Linked DNA regions of Lepisosteus oculatus. The protein of the gene in region 1 binds, or shares a complex with, the protein of each later gene. Links are inferred from orthologs where the notes say so. Each region holds a gene or a part of one and is shown in the gene's direction. Other genes may lie near its edges.

Region 1 (8,499 bases):
GTTCTGCCTAAATTTTATTGCTCTTTCTAAGCAACTACTGCATTCACAATAGCTAAAACGGACAGGTCAGGGGTTCAGGGGTTGCAAGTGTGCAATGGAAGGGCCAGTTGTGTGTTTTTCACATCTCCACTTCAAAAACGGTCAACTGGGACAGTTTCCATCTGGCTTCCAAACTGTCAAGCGCTGTGGCGTGCTCCTTGTGGAAGTGGCGTGGTACTGTCTCTTTTGTCAGGGTTTGTATGACTCCAGAACAGCAGAAGGGTTGTAAAAGACAGGAGGCCGTTTTAGCTTGAACTACTGGTTTGGCCTCACCCAGCCGCTCCTCGAATGGCCCTGCCTTTAATGCCTTAGCCTGGCGGTTGGTTCCAGGAGCAGAGGGGAAATTCAGCGTGAAGACGTGCCACCTGTTCTCTGTCCTGAAGGCAGGCCCAGTGCATGCGATTTGTTTTTGTATCTGGTTCAAATCCCCCAGCGATCTCCTTTATTCAGAACTAAAGAGAGGTGGTTGCTCTAACCTGTCTGTCGTGCTATACCACTGGCACCAGCTGCGTCACGGACAGTATGAGGCAAGAGCAGGTGTTGCACTTCTGCATCTCTGTTAGTGGAGAATGCACTTTGCCCACTCGACAGTGTTATGGGTCAACGAAACAGCTGTCGCTTTTGTAAAGCTATGGAGTGAACATGGGTGTCTCGAGTGTATGTTTTTAATAATAATGTCTTATAATCTGAACAAATCAACAAAGAACAGTTTTGCTGCCTAAACCATTTCGAAGTCACCTGTGCAAAATCTTTATTGTAAAACCTAGCTCTCATTTCAAACACTCCGGACCTGAACTCCCCAGGTGAACTTTTCTAGCAGGCTTGGAGATGGTGGGCTAAGTGCTCTGGCTGGAATGACCTTTATGCTGATGTACAAATTCTGGAGAAAAAAAAAAATCATCACCAGTAATGTTCAGCATTGTAAAGCACTCCAAAAATACCTTTTCTGGCTCTCATTTCTATGTATTGATGTGTTGTATCTGCTCCTCCAAGAACGAGAGAGAGAGCAAAGACGTTTGACCACAGCTCTAGTCTTGTGGTTTGGGTACATACAGCTACAGCGTTGTAAGAATAGTTCTTGTATTTTTCTGAAGTTTTATACTAAAAAAAATCCATACATGATAATACAATACAATACATACAATGATAAGTTAATACTTATGTCTTAACTATTAAAACAGCGCTAGTACCTCAGACCGATGCTTTCCAGTGTACCGCAGTGTTTCGTAGTGAAGTAGCTTTTTACAGACGCTCACATGTAATTGGCCAATTTGACCAGCAGAGGTCTCTGTTTTACTACATTCGTTCCTATACACTAAAGGCCATTTTCGTTTGGGTGTTACTGAATAACTTAAATTACTTTGGATTTAATAATAATAATAATAATTGCTTACACTTATATAGCACTTTTTTCTGGACACTCCACTCAAAGAGCTTTACAGGTAATGGGGATCCCCTCCACCTCCACCAGTGTGCAGCCCCACCTGGATGATGTGACAGCAGCCATAGTGCGCCAGTCCTCTCCCCACACAGCAGCTCTCAGAGAGCAGAGTAACGAAGCCAGTTCAGAGAGGGGGGTTATTAGGAGGCCATGATTGGTAAGGGCCAATGGGAAATTTGGCTAGAATGCTGGGGTAACACCCCTACTCTTTTCGAGAGACACTCTGGGATTTTTAATGACCACAGAGAGTCAGAACCTCGGTGTTATATCTCATCCAAAGGATGGTGCCTGTTTACAGTACAGTGTCCCCATCACTATACTAGGGCATTAGGACCCACATGGACCACAGGGTGAGCGCCCCCTGCTGACCCCACTAACACCTCTTCCAGCAGCAGCCTTAGTTTTTCCCAGGAGTCTCCCATCCAGGTACTGACCAGGCTCACACCTGCTGAGCTTCAGTGGGCTGCCAGTTGTGAGCTGCAGATATGGCTGCTGGCTGATTTGACTTGGAGACACGTGTTCTGCTGACAGTTGCATGCACACAGCTCTCCAGACTATAAGCTGCACAAACATGTGATGCACGAGGGAGAAACATATATTTTCAATACACTACTATCACAGTTTCTGATGCCATTTTAAGAAAAGTGATCTATATACTATGTATATATTTACACAAAATTAACTGTTCAATACTCTTCTAGTCAAATTATATTTTTTACTTAAGAGGGTATACAACCGAAATTACGTCGTCAACACAAATTAGTTTTAAAATTATATTTTTCTAACTATTTTATTAACTCTATATTATTAAACTCAAACGCAATGCAAGACCATTGTTTTTGTCCACTGGATTTCACCTCTGTTCTATTGTACTTAGCAATTTTGCAAAGATGTGTTTCTTTATGCAAACTTACTCAGTTCAGGTACAAAAAAATAACACAGCACAAAATTCGTCAGATAAATTCTTTGCTTTTGTGGATGCTTATTCAAACAGACACTGTTTTGCAGATTTTGTTGAAGGAAGATTGTTTTACTTGGTGAACCAACACAGGGTTTACTATGTCTGTTACAAATGGCATCATGGTTAAAAGACATTTAACCTTCAGTTTCCCTGACTGTGTCTGGGTAGTGGCCTCTCCTCATTTTTCAAATGACTGGCTTGGAAGAGCTGTGACAGAGCAGCCTTCTAATCATTTATATTTAACATTAATATATATATTTTATTCTGTAACCTGTATATTTGTAGAGCCCAGTGAACACATTTTGTAGCTGCCAGTATTTAATCCTAGACTGAATAAGCAACTTTTAGAAAAGTATTTTAAGTGAATCCTTGAATATTTATTGACTAGGGTCACTTGACATTTCCAGAATGCTGGCCTGTTTTGCAAGGTTTGCAGTATTAGGTCTCTTTAGTGGTGCTTGCAATTTTACTGACAGTATTTGTCTCTGATTTGTCCTTATCTGTTTATGTCAAGACTTGGAACTGTTTCTGGAGTGAAGGAAACAGCTGTTCTGTAACTGTTATCATTATTGTTAAATTGTTTTTTTTTTCTGTATTGCTGAATGTAGTTAGACCTCAGTGCTTCTGTCAGATCACTGGGATGCAAACATAATGTATGCTTTACTGACACACAGAGACTTTAAAACCCTTTTCAGAACTTGCATTTGAAGGAGTCTTGTAAGAAAGCCTTTAATAAAAAAACAGCTTGTTGTGTCAAACATGTTTTGTGTAATATGTTTATCAGATTTTCTACCCCTGTTACATCTTAGCAAAGGGAAGGCAATTTCTATCAAGGTGACAAAGTATCACAATCCTGGCCAGAGGACGAGGAGGCTGGGACCCCCTGCGGACTGAGGGGGGCCCAGGGGCGGCTGCAGGGGGAGGTGGGGAGCAGGAGGGGTGCAGGAGGCGTGTGTGAGGGAGAGGGGGGGACCTCGTCCGGTCTTTATAGTGCTTCAGGAGAGGAAATGACATCACGAGTGACTGCTAATTACTGACAGCTGAGTCTGATTGTACTGGGCTGTTGTCATCCATCCCAAACTTTCGTTGTGAACTCCATTCATTAAATTAGTCTGTGCAGCACAGGTGTGGCTCCTTTTCTGTTCAGTTGTATGGATAGTATATTTTCTGCTTTGTCAACCTTTTCTCTGTGTTTTTCTGCCTCCTATCTGGAATGTACAGGGTGAATTAATCCTTTCAAGAGTCATTTACCCTAATTCAGTGCTTATATGAAGGAGTACTCTCTCAGTGGTGCCTACCAAGAAAATCTTCTTTCATCCATGCGATGTAAATTATTGTCCAGGAAAAGATCATTTGTTCCAAACCCCTGAATAATCCTTATTTTTTATAATCCCTCTCATCACTTACGTCATTTTGCTGTTCTCCCGTCATTCACCGTGGGCTATTAAAGCAATGCTCCTGGCAAGAGCACTTTGTGTTCTCTGAAGCGCTGGTTTCCTAATTCTAATGTTCTCAAGTACAGCACGTACACATGATAAACGTCAGGTGATGATTTCAGATCCTCACAACTCTGTGCGTTTCATTAGAAAAAAAAAACTTGAGCCGCACCTGCAAACATCCTGCAGGATCAGAATTCCGTATCCTGTAGAAATATTTGTTTTTTCTCTTCGGTAAATTTTAGGATCCCTAAAACAGACCGTCAAGATAAATGTATGGTTCTTGTTGACAGCGTTGTATAACATCTGTAAGGGGCAGAACATACATAGGTGCGCATTCCAAAACACGTATGCACATACTAGAAATTAAGAAGTGAACCCCGAGAAGTGGAAATTAAGATTCCGCATTCTGTTTATACAGCTCTTCATTGCCACCATGAGGTGATACAGCAATACTACCATTCAATACAGTATTTTTATTTTTTGGCAGCTTGCCACGCCCCCTCGTTTTTCTCCTTCCGGGGTTATGTCGTGTCTCTGGCTTCTCCTTCCCGGGTCAGAGTTCAGTGTTTGCACTGTATGGTCTGTTGATGAGCTGGAGTTTGCAGACAGGACATTCCCGGAGCAAAACTGAGAACAGAGTATTTTGTATTACAATACAATAAGGACTCGACAACCTAAAAGCTCAACGGCGAAAACAACGAAAGCTCATTCATCAGTGGAGAAAGGTGAGTGTCACGGCAATGACTCTGCGTTTGTGAGTGATTTAATGATGAAACGATGGGAGTGAAGGTTTAAATTAGCTACGTCGCAATAAAATGTTTTGTGACGTTTAATCACCAAGCCACTTAACACTATAATTAATTATGCCTGTTTATGATTATAAAGCTTTTTAATTTAATCAGCTAAATTACTGATCTCATTGCATGTAATGTCGTCACTTACTGCTGACCAATCCGAAATGTCACATGAACGCATAAACGCAGTTCTCTAAAAAGGGCGTGGTGTGGTTGACTACCTTCATACTTCGAATACAAAAGTAAGATATTGAAACAGCTGTGTGCATTTTCATAATTTTAATATTTCACCACCAGTATCGTGATCCGAAGAGAAGAGTTCAGGAGGCGTGTTCGCTGTTATCAGTCGCGCAGTTTCGACAGTGCTCTGTGCTGCGGACTTCAGCCCGGAACTGTAGACTTGGCTCCTGACGGGATATATGTTCAGTGCCTGGAGTCGCTACCTTTCTCGCCCTGTGGGAACTGATACTTGGTTTCTATCGGTGCAAAACAGGTGCCCAGCCATTAGAAAAACAAAAGACAAACATCCACAATTTGCAGTTTCTCTTACAGTGTCGGAATATTAATACAATTTCATAGACGGCACAGACCTGTTTATGCAATAAGGCTAAAGAGGGATATTTATATATATATATGCGTTAGTGTAATTTAAAATTAGGGCGACAGCACCTGGGATTAGGGCGGATACTAACTAAGTTTAACGTCTCTATGCAAATATGTGAAAAGGGTGACCTGTTTGAAATAGGCAGCCCCTGATGAGGGTTAATTTGAAAGCCTGCTGCTAATGTTTGAAGCCAGCCATGGCGCTGTGGAAGGGGCGGGAGCTTTGGTGCGTATGTAGGGGGGTGGGGCTTATAATGTTACGTAGTCGGATTGGACAGCAGCGTAGGGGCGGGGTCTGTGGTGTGCGGTGGTTTGTTTTCCTGGGCTGAGTCTAGATCAAACTAAATCAAATCCAAGGTGCCCAGCATTTCATGATGTTGATATTAAGAAATCTGTAATGATAACAAAAACAACTCCCAGCTTCCAAATCACCCTGCACCTCACAACTGGCAGCCCCCTGAAGCTCAGCAGCTGTGAGCCTGGCCAGTACCTGGATGGGAGACCTCCTGGGAAAGCTCAGGCTTCTGCTGGAAGAGGTGTTAGTGGGACCAGTAGGTTGCGCTCACCTTACAGTCTCTGTGGGTCCTAATGCCCCAGTTAAAGACAGGGGCACTATACTGTAAAAAGGCCCAGATGAGACGTAAAACTGAGGTCCTGACTATGGTCATTAAAAATCCCAGGGAGTTTCTCGAAAAGACTAGGGATGTTATTCCAATGTCCTGGCCTTTACCAATCATGGCCTCCTAATAACCCCCATCTCTGATCTGGCTTCATCACTCTGCTCTCCTCCCCACTGAGAGCTGCTGTGTGGGGAGAAGACTGGAGCATCATCCAGGTGGGGCTGCACACTGGTGGGGATGGAGGGGATCCCCATTTCCTGTAAAGCGCTGTGAGTGGAGTGTCCAGAAAAGCGTTATATAAGTGTAAGAAATTACTATAAATTATTATGAGATTTCTTTAACAAGTGAACACCCTGTTTTCCTGTTCCGTGGCCTGACAGGAGATGGCGCCGTTGCACTGCTGTGGGCCTGAGACTGATCTCCTGTGGCAGTTGTGCTCAGTGGAGCTGGGTGTGAACAAGCCCATTACAATGCACCCCCACTGTGAGTTGTAGGCAGCAGTAATGAGCACCCTGGGCCCTGGTTTTCGCTAACGCCTTTTTAGCAACCCCAGAAAACAGGACGTGCTTTACAGCTGTGGCCCCAGCACCCTTCTTGATGGCTCCCTGTGGCGATCTGGCCTTCGCAGCACCTTGCCCCCGGCCCCCCCGTTCAAGGGTTGTGACGGTGCCTCTCGTGTCCCCCGCAGCGTGAGAGCCGACAGCCCGAGACGATGAGTCTGCAGTGGACGGCCGTCGCCACCTTCCTGTACGCGGAGGTCTTCGCCGTGCTGCTGCTCTGCGTGCCCTTCATCTCCCCGACCAGGTAACCCCCAGCTCGACCGCTGCGGACATCTTCCAGCAGGCCCAGCGGAAAAACACCCGAGAGCCCTTTCCTGCTGTGTGCTTGTGGACCGAAGGCCAGAGAATTGTCAGAAAGGACAGCAGCTCCCGAGCCTGTCCGGTCAGAGAGCGAGCAGGACTAAAGGACAGAGGAGCCAAATTCTGGGCAAGGGCGGACTGATTGTGCATCATCATTCGCTGTGAAAGCCTCTAGATGTTGTGCATCAGAATTAAGCGAGAGTGCTGAGCTGCGATTGAAAGGCTGTTAGAATGGAAACGGGTTGTGCATATTCATCTGAATTTAATGGTTGAATGTTTCCATGGTGGTTAAGGTGTTGTTCCTTGTTTGCCCACTTGCTCATATTGTGGACTTACTCCGTGCTTTCTGTCACTATACAGCTGTGGGGACTGAAGCAGTTGCCTTTGTGACTTTGTTAGAAAGTACAACACAAAAGGGAACCTATGTGGAACTGCCCCTTCCCTTTTCAGAACAGCTTTCAGTTTAAGAACCTGTGCATTGCTAGTGTTATGGGGCAGCTTGCTGCAGAACTCAGCTCTTCCCCTGGTGGGCCTTGTGCAGCTCTCATGTGCGTGCGTGTGTGTGTGTGAGAGAATGTGTGTGTGTGGGCGCACGTGTGTGCATGCTCAGAGTTGCATGCTGCAGCCAGTTCCTCACAGTCTTGTCTGTCTCCCTCTGGCAGATGGAATAAGATCTTCAAGTCTCGTCTGGTGAAGGCCATCACAACATACGGCAACACCTACTTTGTGGTGCTGATCCTCATTCTGGTCTTTCTGCTCATTGGTGAGTGTTGCCGACCCTAGTGGCAAGGAGGAGGAGGTGCCGGGGCGTCCTACCCTACTACAGGGGCTCCTTGATTGCAGTTCTGGCTGTTAAAGAAGTAACTGTAGAGCAGGGCTGCTGAAGGTGTGACTCTAAAACCGGATTCTTCATTAACTGATTGTTGTCAGGATCAATTTAATAATTAATGAGCTGGTTATATGAAAGCGCATAACAAGGGTTGCAAAGCAGAGGAGGCGATTTGGCCCGTTGAGCACGATAAACAGTGGAAGTCTGTGTCAGGGAGTCTGTCCCCTGTCTCTCTGATGTCTTAGGCACTGACATCACCCTTGTGTCTGCGAGTGATGTTGGGCAGATGTGTGTGAATTAGAAACCTGGAGTTCTCTCTCTGACTCCGTGTTTCCGTGCCCAGATGCCGGGCGGGAGGTGAGGAAGTACAGCGTGACGGAGAAGGTGGATCTGACCAACAACCCGGTGGCTGTGGAGCACATCCATATGAAGCTATTCAGGGCCCAGAGGAACCTGTACATCGCTGGATTTGCTCTGCTGCTCTGGTTGTGAGTATCTGGTTGTGAACACGCCCCTCAGCCCTAGCCTCCTTCATACTGAGGACCACGCCCCCCAGCCTGCCTTATTCTCACAGGTGGCCACGCCCCCAGCCTGCCTTATTCTCACAGGTGGCCACGCCCCCAGCCTCCCTTATTCTCACAGGTGGCCATGCCCCCAGCCTCCCTTATTCTCACAGGTGGCCACGCCCCTAGTTTCACACCCCATAAGCGTTTCTTGTGCCCTTTGACCCTATCCAGAAAAACAGAGAAAAAAAATCTGTAAATTAAGGTGATGTTTGGCTTTTGTGATCCCTGTAACGCCATCCCAAGCATGCTGGCCCACTTGATCATCCAGCTATTCAAGCCTGGCCGCAGGGTGGTCAAAGAAAAACATGCTGGACAGAAAAAACATCCATCTTGCACAGAAACCCCTC
Region 2 (8,431 bases), on another chromosome or scaffold:
TCAACGTTAATGTTTGAGAGAACAATCATGCTGTGTAAGACAAACAAATATATGAACGTCTTATTTTTTTGGTGTAATTGCAATCATCTTTGTTATTGTTAACATTTACAAGCAGAGTGACTAAAACAGCTCTCATTTCCTGTACTCAGTGTATCCATATAATATCAACCAAAAAGATATAAAAATAGTACTACCAGCTAGGGGCACATCTTCTATGACAATAAGTGTGACTTCTTCCTCATTTTAAAAGTAATCAAATTCACTTTGAGGTGCCATGAAATATCGTCCTTCTCATTCTTTAGGGACATTTCATTATTTTAAAGATATCTGTAATTTGGATTCTTTAAAGATATTCCAAATGCATTTCTGTGAATTAACCCCCAATTAAAATACAAAATATGTTTTAATCTCAATGAATACATCTGTACATTTTCTTCCTTTACTTTTAAATTGGACTCCTGGATTTGAAGTATCATAAAGATAAATATGACTTTGGATCTCGTCTACTGTACCTCAATGCTTTCCAGATATAATAAATCATTCAGAGGTACGTGGAGCTTCTCCCTTCTGTTGTGAACTTCAGAAGTTTAGTCCTGCCTTCTGTTATGATTTACTTCCCTGTTATGCCATCCCCAACTCTGCCTGTGCTTCTTGTCTGAAATCAACTTTAACGACAGGGGTCAATGGACTTTAAACTGTGGTGCAGCCTGACACACAAGGACCACACACAGCAGGAAACACAAAAGATCACTTAATTCGAGGATTCAGGAGAAAGGTAGGAAAAGTTGATATGCACTTATAATGTGTTGCTATGTTAATAGTGTCCATTTTTTCTGGTTGAGCTCTGAATGAGACCGATTTGGTCAAATCTCATTGATTGTTTAAGGCTCTGAAGTTCTATTGGGATTGGTAATTAACATCTGCCCTGAGCTCATTTGTGGGTAACTGGGCCTTTTTCAGAATACACAGAGCCTTTTTTGTGTGTGCAAGTGCTAGAGAGATTTCCACCTGTGTCTCAGCAGTGCTAACTGGTTAGCTTTTAAAAGATGTTTACACAGAAATAAGGGAGCACCAATGTAATATGTAACCTGAGAAAAGAATTCTAGGAATGTATTGTTAAAGTTTTATTGAAACATTCAAAGTCTCCGAATCAGCCATGAAACACCAACAACACAAGTGGAAAATACAGTTAAGTGCCTCTAATACTGAGAACAGGGGGAATTTCTTTACACATAGGATTGCAGGAGTCTGGAACAAGCTACAGAATCAGGTTGTTGAAACAAATATTGTAGCAACCATATGAGCATGATGATCTGCATAGCCCTGTCCCATTTGTAACATTCCTGATGTTCTAATATACTATGTACAGTTGTTTATTTTCCAGGGAAAGTGAGTTTTTTTCCAGCACCAGAGGAAGACATTGAGTAACATGACAGGTAAATTGCTCCCATGGGGACGAATAAAGTATTTTGAATTGAATTGAAATCTTCCACCCATCCAATTTTTAACTGCTTTTTCCGGCTCGGGATCCCCAGGGGAGCCGGAACGTATCAAAACAAGCAGAGGGCACAGGGCAGGGTGCACCCTGGGAGGGACGCCAGTCCATCGCAGGACACACACACACCAGGGCCGGTCTTCCCAGAAACCAATTGACCTACCAGTATGTCTTTCGGACTGTGGGGTGGAAACTGGAAAACCCGCAGGGAACCCACTGGGAGAACATGCAAACTCCATGCAGATAGCAGCCCAGGAATTGAAGCCAGGCAAATGATCTTAACATATTAAATATTATTATAACAAGCAGGATGTTTGAAATAGGGAATCACGTAAAAGGAATTCTGGACTATATATCCTGATCTGAATCTCATATAAATCTCCCATCCGTGATCTTTATTTATACGTCAGCGTTGCTCATATTTTCTTATGATAAGGGCCCAGTAAAAGTGGGGCGTTACACTTCTGAACAAGCACAGCCGCGCGGTGTGGATGAGCTCTGAGAAGAGAGGAAGAGGCAGACGCTCTGTGCCTTTAACCGGCGGACAGGTTGTCCGGCGCAGATGCTGTGACACGCGCCACTCTCTCTCCGCACAGACTCCGCCGCGGTCAAGGAGCTGGTGTCCAAGTGCCTCGCGGCTCGCGGCTTCGCCTACTGTCCCTACAGCCACTTCCCCGTGGGCGCCGCGCTGCTGACCACAGAGGGCGCTGTGATCACAGGTGAGAGCAGGGGGCGGGCTCAGATTGCACGTCAGTGTGCGCTGCTGGCGATAAGTACCTTTTAAGACAAAGCGCGCGATGACTTTGCTTCTGTTGTTACTGTCAGAGGTGATAGTGTAGTAGCTACCGCATTTCGCTGGGAAATACTGGAGATGGTGCTTATAAAGAAGTGACAGTGCAGGTTTGACACATCTATCAGTCTTGCCTGATCTATCAGTCCAAACATCCATACATCCTACCGAAACAGTAAACCTAGAGATCTCCTCTCATAGAAGGTTATCCACTTCCAGGGGACATCTGTAGTGTTGGTTTCACTAGTTAGTAGCAGTTTGACTGTGGCAATATGAGCAGTTGGCAGTTTGCTTGTGGGTAACAGCTCAGTAGCTTCTTGTGGTTTGAATCACACTTCCTGTTGGTGTTTGTTATTTATAAATACGCAAACCACTGCGTATAAACCCTTGAGGCTTCCTGAATCGACTCGATCAGCCATCCGAGCCGCCAAGACACTCCTCCAGATCGCTTAGATTGGAAAGATTGCCTTTCCTCCCACAGCCGAGGAACATGCCGGGTTTGCTGCTACTTCACAGCCCTTAGTGTTCCCACTACTTTGGACAAGATGGGTCATTCCAATGAAATACCATTCTCTGACATTCTGATCCCCCCCAGGTTGAGTAAATGTGCAATAAAAGCAGCTTTTCTTCTTCCTAAAAGAGTGCAAGGCTACAAATCTGTGATGTTGTGGTGGCCAGCAGGAGGACCTAGGCCCATAGAGGAGAGTAGTTTCCTTCACTCCTCTCCTCTATGGATCTCCTTCACAAACCTGACGTCTTGTGTGTGTGTGTGTGTGTGTGTGTGTGTGTGTGTGTGTGTGTGTGTGTGTGTGTGTGTGTGTGTGTGTGTGTGGGGGGGTGTCTGCTACAGGGTGCAATGTGGAGAACGCCTCCTACGGACTGTCGGTGTGCGCAGAGAGGACAGCTGTGCAGAGAGCCGTGGCAGAGGGCTACACCGAATTCACCGCCATCGCTGTCACTTGGTAATCAGCGCCGTCTGTGGTAAAAGCCATACCAACCGGGTGAGGGAGAACTGTCCTGGTTTCTTGGAAATCTGTTCATACCTAGCGACCTGGCCACTTCCTTTTGCTAGACACTTTTTCTCAGTAAACCTCTCTGTGGTCATTAAAAATCCCAGGGTGTTTCTCTAAAAGAGTTGAGGTGTTACAGTACCTGGCGTCCAGGCAAAATTTCCCATTGGCCTTTACCAGTCATGGCCTCATAATAATCCCCATCTCTGAACTGGCTTCATCACTCTGTTCTCTTCCCCACCGAGAGCTGGTGTGTGGGGAGAGTACTGGTGCATCATCCAGGTGGGGCTGCACACTGGAGGTGCTAGAGGGGAGTCCCCATTACCTGTAAATCACTTTGAGTGGAGTGTCCAGAAAAAGCGATACATAAGTGTAAGGAATTATTATAAAGTATCCATGTTTCTGCTGATATGCTCCAGTGTCCTATCTGAACAAACCAATAAAAGGCGCTCTTGAACATGAGTGGCTGGGCGGGTCTGCACCCTGCTGAGCAATTGCTTCCTCCTCATAGTGCTCTGGTGTCTGTGCTCTGCAGTGACGTTGAGGACAGCTTCGTGGGACCCTGCGGGGCCTGCAGACAGGTGCTGCTGGAGGTACGTGTGTGAGTGAGGGCTGTAGGGTAGGTGATGGAGGGGCTATTCCCAGCTCATGGGGCTTTTCAGAGCTTTCATGAGTACCTGGGCTATACCATCCATAGGGAAAGTGACCATTATGGAGTACTTGGAGCACATCTCAGCAGAGATGCTGCTCGAAATGGAGACAGTCTCATGGGCACGTCTGACACAATGCACTTTACAAAAAAATGAAAAGAAGTTCACTTCTTTGCTAGCTAGCATAGTTTGTTGACCAACAAATCTTATCCAATTGTTTCTGGAAACATTTTCAACAATCAGGCCGACACCCACCGCCCTTGGTGTAGTGGTCAATCGTTCTCAGGCCTAAACAAACTGCTCAGGTCCTTGTTTCAGAGCTGGCCCTGAGGCAGTGGGTTAGAGTGGAGCGCCGGGGATTGTGGATCGGTTCGGCTCTCCAGACGCAGTGATAAAGCCCGCTGTGTTCCCTGTGTTGGCAGTTTGGCCAGCAGTGGGATGTGTACCTTGTCAAGCCGGACAGCTCCTTCAGGAAGACCAGCCTGCTGGACCTGCTGCCCCTGGCCTTCTCTCCCTCGCACCTGGGCAGGAAATAACACAGCCCCTCCCCCTGCTCAGGCGGAGCGGTGGCTCTGTGGCTCAGGATCTGCACCTGTGGCTGACTCAAATCCAACGGCCGGCAATCCTACTCCGTTGGGCCCCTAAGCAATGCCCTTAACCCCAACTGCTCCAAGGGTGCTGTATAAATGGCTGACCCTGCACTCTGACCCCAAGCTTCTCTCCCTGTCTGTGTGTCTCATGGAGAGCAAGCTGGGGTATGTAAAAAGACAAATTCCTAATGCAAAAAATTGTATAGGGCAAATAAAGTGATCTTATCTTATCCTTCAACTCTGGACTCTGAACTCCTTACCCCATCACTAGGTAATCAGTGAACCCTGTGAACCCTGTGAACTGAGAGTCACTAAAAATGGACTTAAGAAAAGAAATAACAAAAATTAAGAATTAAAAAAAATAATTAAAGAAATAAAAAAAAATAAAATGATTGAACTTCTTTCAATGTTTAAGTCTTTGTTTTAATTCTATATGACACGCTAAAGTCCGACGGTTCTATCCAAAGCGTATCCTCAAGCAAATTGAGGTCTCCTACATTTACTAGCATTACGGTAGCACGTGGTCTCACTGGACTTCCGGCAGTTGCGTATTACTGTTTCCGGAAACATGGAGGCTGTAGTGAGTGAAGTCGTGGCTCCTGAAGATTTACTGGTGAGTGTTTCTCTTTCTTACGAGTTGTTTCCTGAAATGGTCAACGAGTGTGGCGGAGTGTTTGAGCCCGGTGAGGCTGTGTCGGGGATTACTGCTAACGAGCTGCGGGTGAGTTGGGGAGCCCAGAGACACGCCCGTCTGTACTTTTCACAACGTCAACAAACAAAGATGGACGATAGGAGTTTTCTGTCAATTGGTTGAAACAACGTCACAGAGCTACACGGTATATTTACAGCAGTACAGCGTTATGGAGATACGACAAGATATACTAATGTACATGTTTAAATCAGATGTAAGCGATTCTGTGCGTGTCTGGGACTCAGTTGTGATTGGATACAACTTTAAAATGCAAAGGTTAAGGTGTTTTGTAAAACTAATGGAAACAAAGTTATGGCTTATTTTATTTATATTTTCATTGATGTGTTGTTTTTAACCTTTGTGTTCCCAAGTACAAGGCTAAACTCTTCTTACGTGTCATCTAAAATAAATCTGTTCTGACGCGAGAGCTCCCCAGAATTATGACTCCGGAATTCGCATCAAAGTCCATTGGACACTAAATCTGAAATAGTTTTGCTTACAATACATAATTCCACTCACTGTTACTTATCTCCGAGCTTTATGATTTAGGCTTGTGTTAGGTCTTAGACTTATATCGCTGATTGCGTAATATAACATAAATAAGACGTATTTATCCGTAGTTGTAGTGTGTGATCATTGTATTTAACTTGGCATTACAAGAGTTTTGCTCAAATTTAATGAGGCAAAGTAACTGTTTCAAGTATTATAAATCGGAAAAGATGGCGTGCACATTTTATGAGAATCCGAGTCATCTTTATTTTCTCTCGCTCATTTCCAAACTACTTGATTTGTAATATCAGCTGGTACTGTTTCGTAGTCTTTACGGACAAGTACGTGCGTGATCCAGGTTCACTTGTGGCAACGACGTGACGCAATTTAGAATTGTGCTTTTCCGGTGTCACACAGCATTATGTCAGCTTCAGGTAAATCTGTTTTTGCAAGTTTCCTGCTGTAAACATTTGTACCACTGAAATCACTGTACAGTTTCAACTGACACTAGTACTCAGCTGATAGTCTTTATAGATAATAATAATAATAATAATAATAATAATTGCTTACACTTATATAGTGCTTTTCTGGACACTCCACTCAAAGCGCTTTACAGGTAATGGTATCCATTGGTCCCAATGGTCCCCTCCACCACCACCAATGTGCAGCATCCACCTGGATGATGCGACGGCAGCCATAGTGCGCCAGAACGCTCACCACACATCAGCGATCAGTGGGGAGGAGAGCAGAGAATTAAGCCAATTTATAGAGGGGGATTGTTAGGAGGCCATGATTGATAAAGGCCGATGGGAAATTTGGCCAGCCCTATTTGGTACACCGCTACTCTTTTCGAGAAACACCCTGGGATTTTTAATGACAACAGAGAATCAGGACCTCGGTTTTACATCTCAGCCGAAGGACGGCGCCTGTTTACAGTATAGTGTCCCCGTCACTACACTGGGGCATTAGGACCCACATGGACTGCAGGGTGAGCGCCCCCTGCTGGCCCCATTTACGCCTCTTCCAGCAGCAACCTCAGTTTTTCCCAGGAGGTCTCCCATCCAGGTGCTGACCAGCCTCACACCTGCTGAGCTGCAGTGGGCTGCCAGTTGTGAGTTGCAGGGTGATATGGCTGCTGATAGGCTTCTGAAGCCTGAAGTGGGTGTCAGATTGTTTTATAAGGTTGCATAAAAATCTTCTCGTTATTCCTCATGTTTATCATTGCTAGTTAACGCAAGTGACACGAAAGATTATGTCATCCTAACCAAATACAATTTGCCTTCTTTCACCCATTTTCTATCCGCTTTATTCAGTTCGGGGTCACGGGGGAGCTGTAGCCTATCCTGGCAATCATTTGGCCCAAGGCGGAGTACACCCTGGGCAGGACGCCAGTCCATCACAGGGCACACACAGACACAAACACACGCACCCACACCAGGGCCCATTTTCCCTGAAGCCAGTTAACCTACCAGCATGTCTTTGGACTGTGGGAGTAAAGCCATTTAAACATGGGGAGAAACATAAAAACCCCATGCAGACAGCACCCCAGGAATTGAGCCTACAGTCCCAGTGTTGCAAAGTAGTAGTGGTAACCAGTGTGCCACTGTACCACTGTGCCGCCCCATAAGGTTTACACGGATAGCATAAATCCTGGCTGTGAGTGTTGTCCGTTGAGGTATACAGGCTTGTCTGCCCCGTTGTTGTAGTCATGTGGGGCAGGAGGGCAGCACTGGGACACTAGGAATCCGCCAGCTTGGCTGACGTTTCCCCTGTGGTTTCCCTCCCGTTAGAAGTTCGAGAAGAAGTACAATGCGGAGCTGGTGAAGGGCAGCGTGTCAAAGGACACCAAGTTCGAGTACGCCTGGTGCCTCGTCCGGAGCAAGTACACGGACGACATCAGGAAGGGCATCGGGCACCTGGAAGGTGAGTGAGGAGGGAGCAGAAGAGAGAGTCGAGTCTGTCTGGCAGCACGTCCTCCAGCTCAAGTTGAGTCGTTGTTTCTTTTAAATCTCTTCCAGAGTTGGTTCTTAAGTGCACAAAGGATGACCAGAGAGACTACCTGTTTTACCTGGCAGTGGCAAACTACAGACTGAAGGTGAGCTCTTATCACTGTGAAATAATATTAGTGTGTGTTGTATGGAAAATATTATACAATTTTATGAATGGAGGGAAAGGGAAACCAATAAACATGTTAAGGTATACTGTAAATATTGAGTGTTGTGCGTGGGAGGCTTGAGGCCTGTGCAGTCATCCTCCCAGATGGGCACTGTTGAGCCCATCTGCGAGATCCCAGTGTCTGGGATGGGACACTCTGGCTGAAAGCCCTGCCTGTTGAACGGGCTCCCTCATCCAGCCGCGAGAGGGGGCGCCATTGCACACGGATGGAAGAGAAGTTCAAAACGATTCGATTCAACTGGCTTGTTTGGTTTGCATGTAGCTCATTCAGCAGAGGGTCTCATCCAGCTGTTTCTTGAATGGAACCAGTCTGCTGCTCATCAGCCGATTGAGTTAAACGTGTTCTTAGTGTTGTGCGGAGTGGCTCAGTCTCCTTGTGCTTTTGTCCCCGGGCTCAGGAATACGAGAAGGGTCTGAAGTACATCCGCACGCTTCTGAAGAAGGAGCCAGGGAACACGCAGGCCCTGGAGCTGGAGAAGCTCATTGACAAAGCCATGAAGAAAGGTGGGGGCCCCACGGGGAGGGGGGGTTGGGGTCAGGG

Evidence for each region.
Region 2: the proteins of bcap31 (region 1) and fis1 are in contact, whole or in part, in a crystal structure (PDB 8XWX), measured with the Homo sapiens proteins. The link is inferred for Lepisosteus oculatus from reciprocal best matches to the Homo sapiens genes BCAP31 and FIS1. Residues at the interface, in NP_001132913.1 of Homo sapiens: Asp224, Leu227, Glu228, Ala231, Lys232, Ala235; in NP_057152.2 of Homo sapiens: Arg52, Val56, Glu59, Glu60, Pro63, Lys64, Lys89.

Annotation. Positions count from the first base shown.
Region 1 is NC_090697.1:76,378,665-76,387,163, reverse strand, and holds the start of bcap31 (B-cell receptor-associated protein 31), read left to right. Parts: upstream 1-4,403; 5' UTR 4,404-4,605; intron 4,606-4,817; exon of another isoform or gene 4,818-4,916; intron 4,917-6,304; exon of another isoform or gene 6,305-6,380; intron 6,381-6,585; 5' UTR 6,586-6,609; coding exon 6,610-6,701; intron 6,702-7,419; coding exon 7,420-7,520; intron 7,521-7,929; coding exon 7,930-8,074; intron 8,075-8,499. UniProt on the Homo sapiens protein: Functions as a chaperone protein. Is one of the most abundant endoplasmic reticulum (ER) proteins.
Region 2 is NC_090698.1:7,461,087-7,469,517, forward strand, and holds the start of fis1 (mitochondrial fission 1 protein), read left to right. Parts: upstream 1-5,041; 5' UTR 5,042-5,103; coding exon 5,104-5,148; intron 5,149-7,505; coding exon 7,506-7,638; intron 7,639-7,733; coding exon 7,734-7,810; intron 7,811-8,288; coding exon 8,289-8,394; intron 8,395-8,431. Other genes in the region: cytidine deaminase, read left to right, coding at 1,430-1,436, 2,092-2,214, 3,136-3,247, 3,831-3,888, 4,368-4,481. UniProt on the Homo sapiens protein: Involved in the fragmentation of the mitochondrial network and its perinuclear clustering. Plays a minor role in the recruitment and association of the fission mediator dynamin-related protein 1 (DNM1L) to the mitochondrial surface and mitochondrial fission.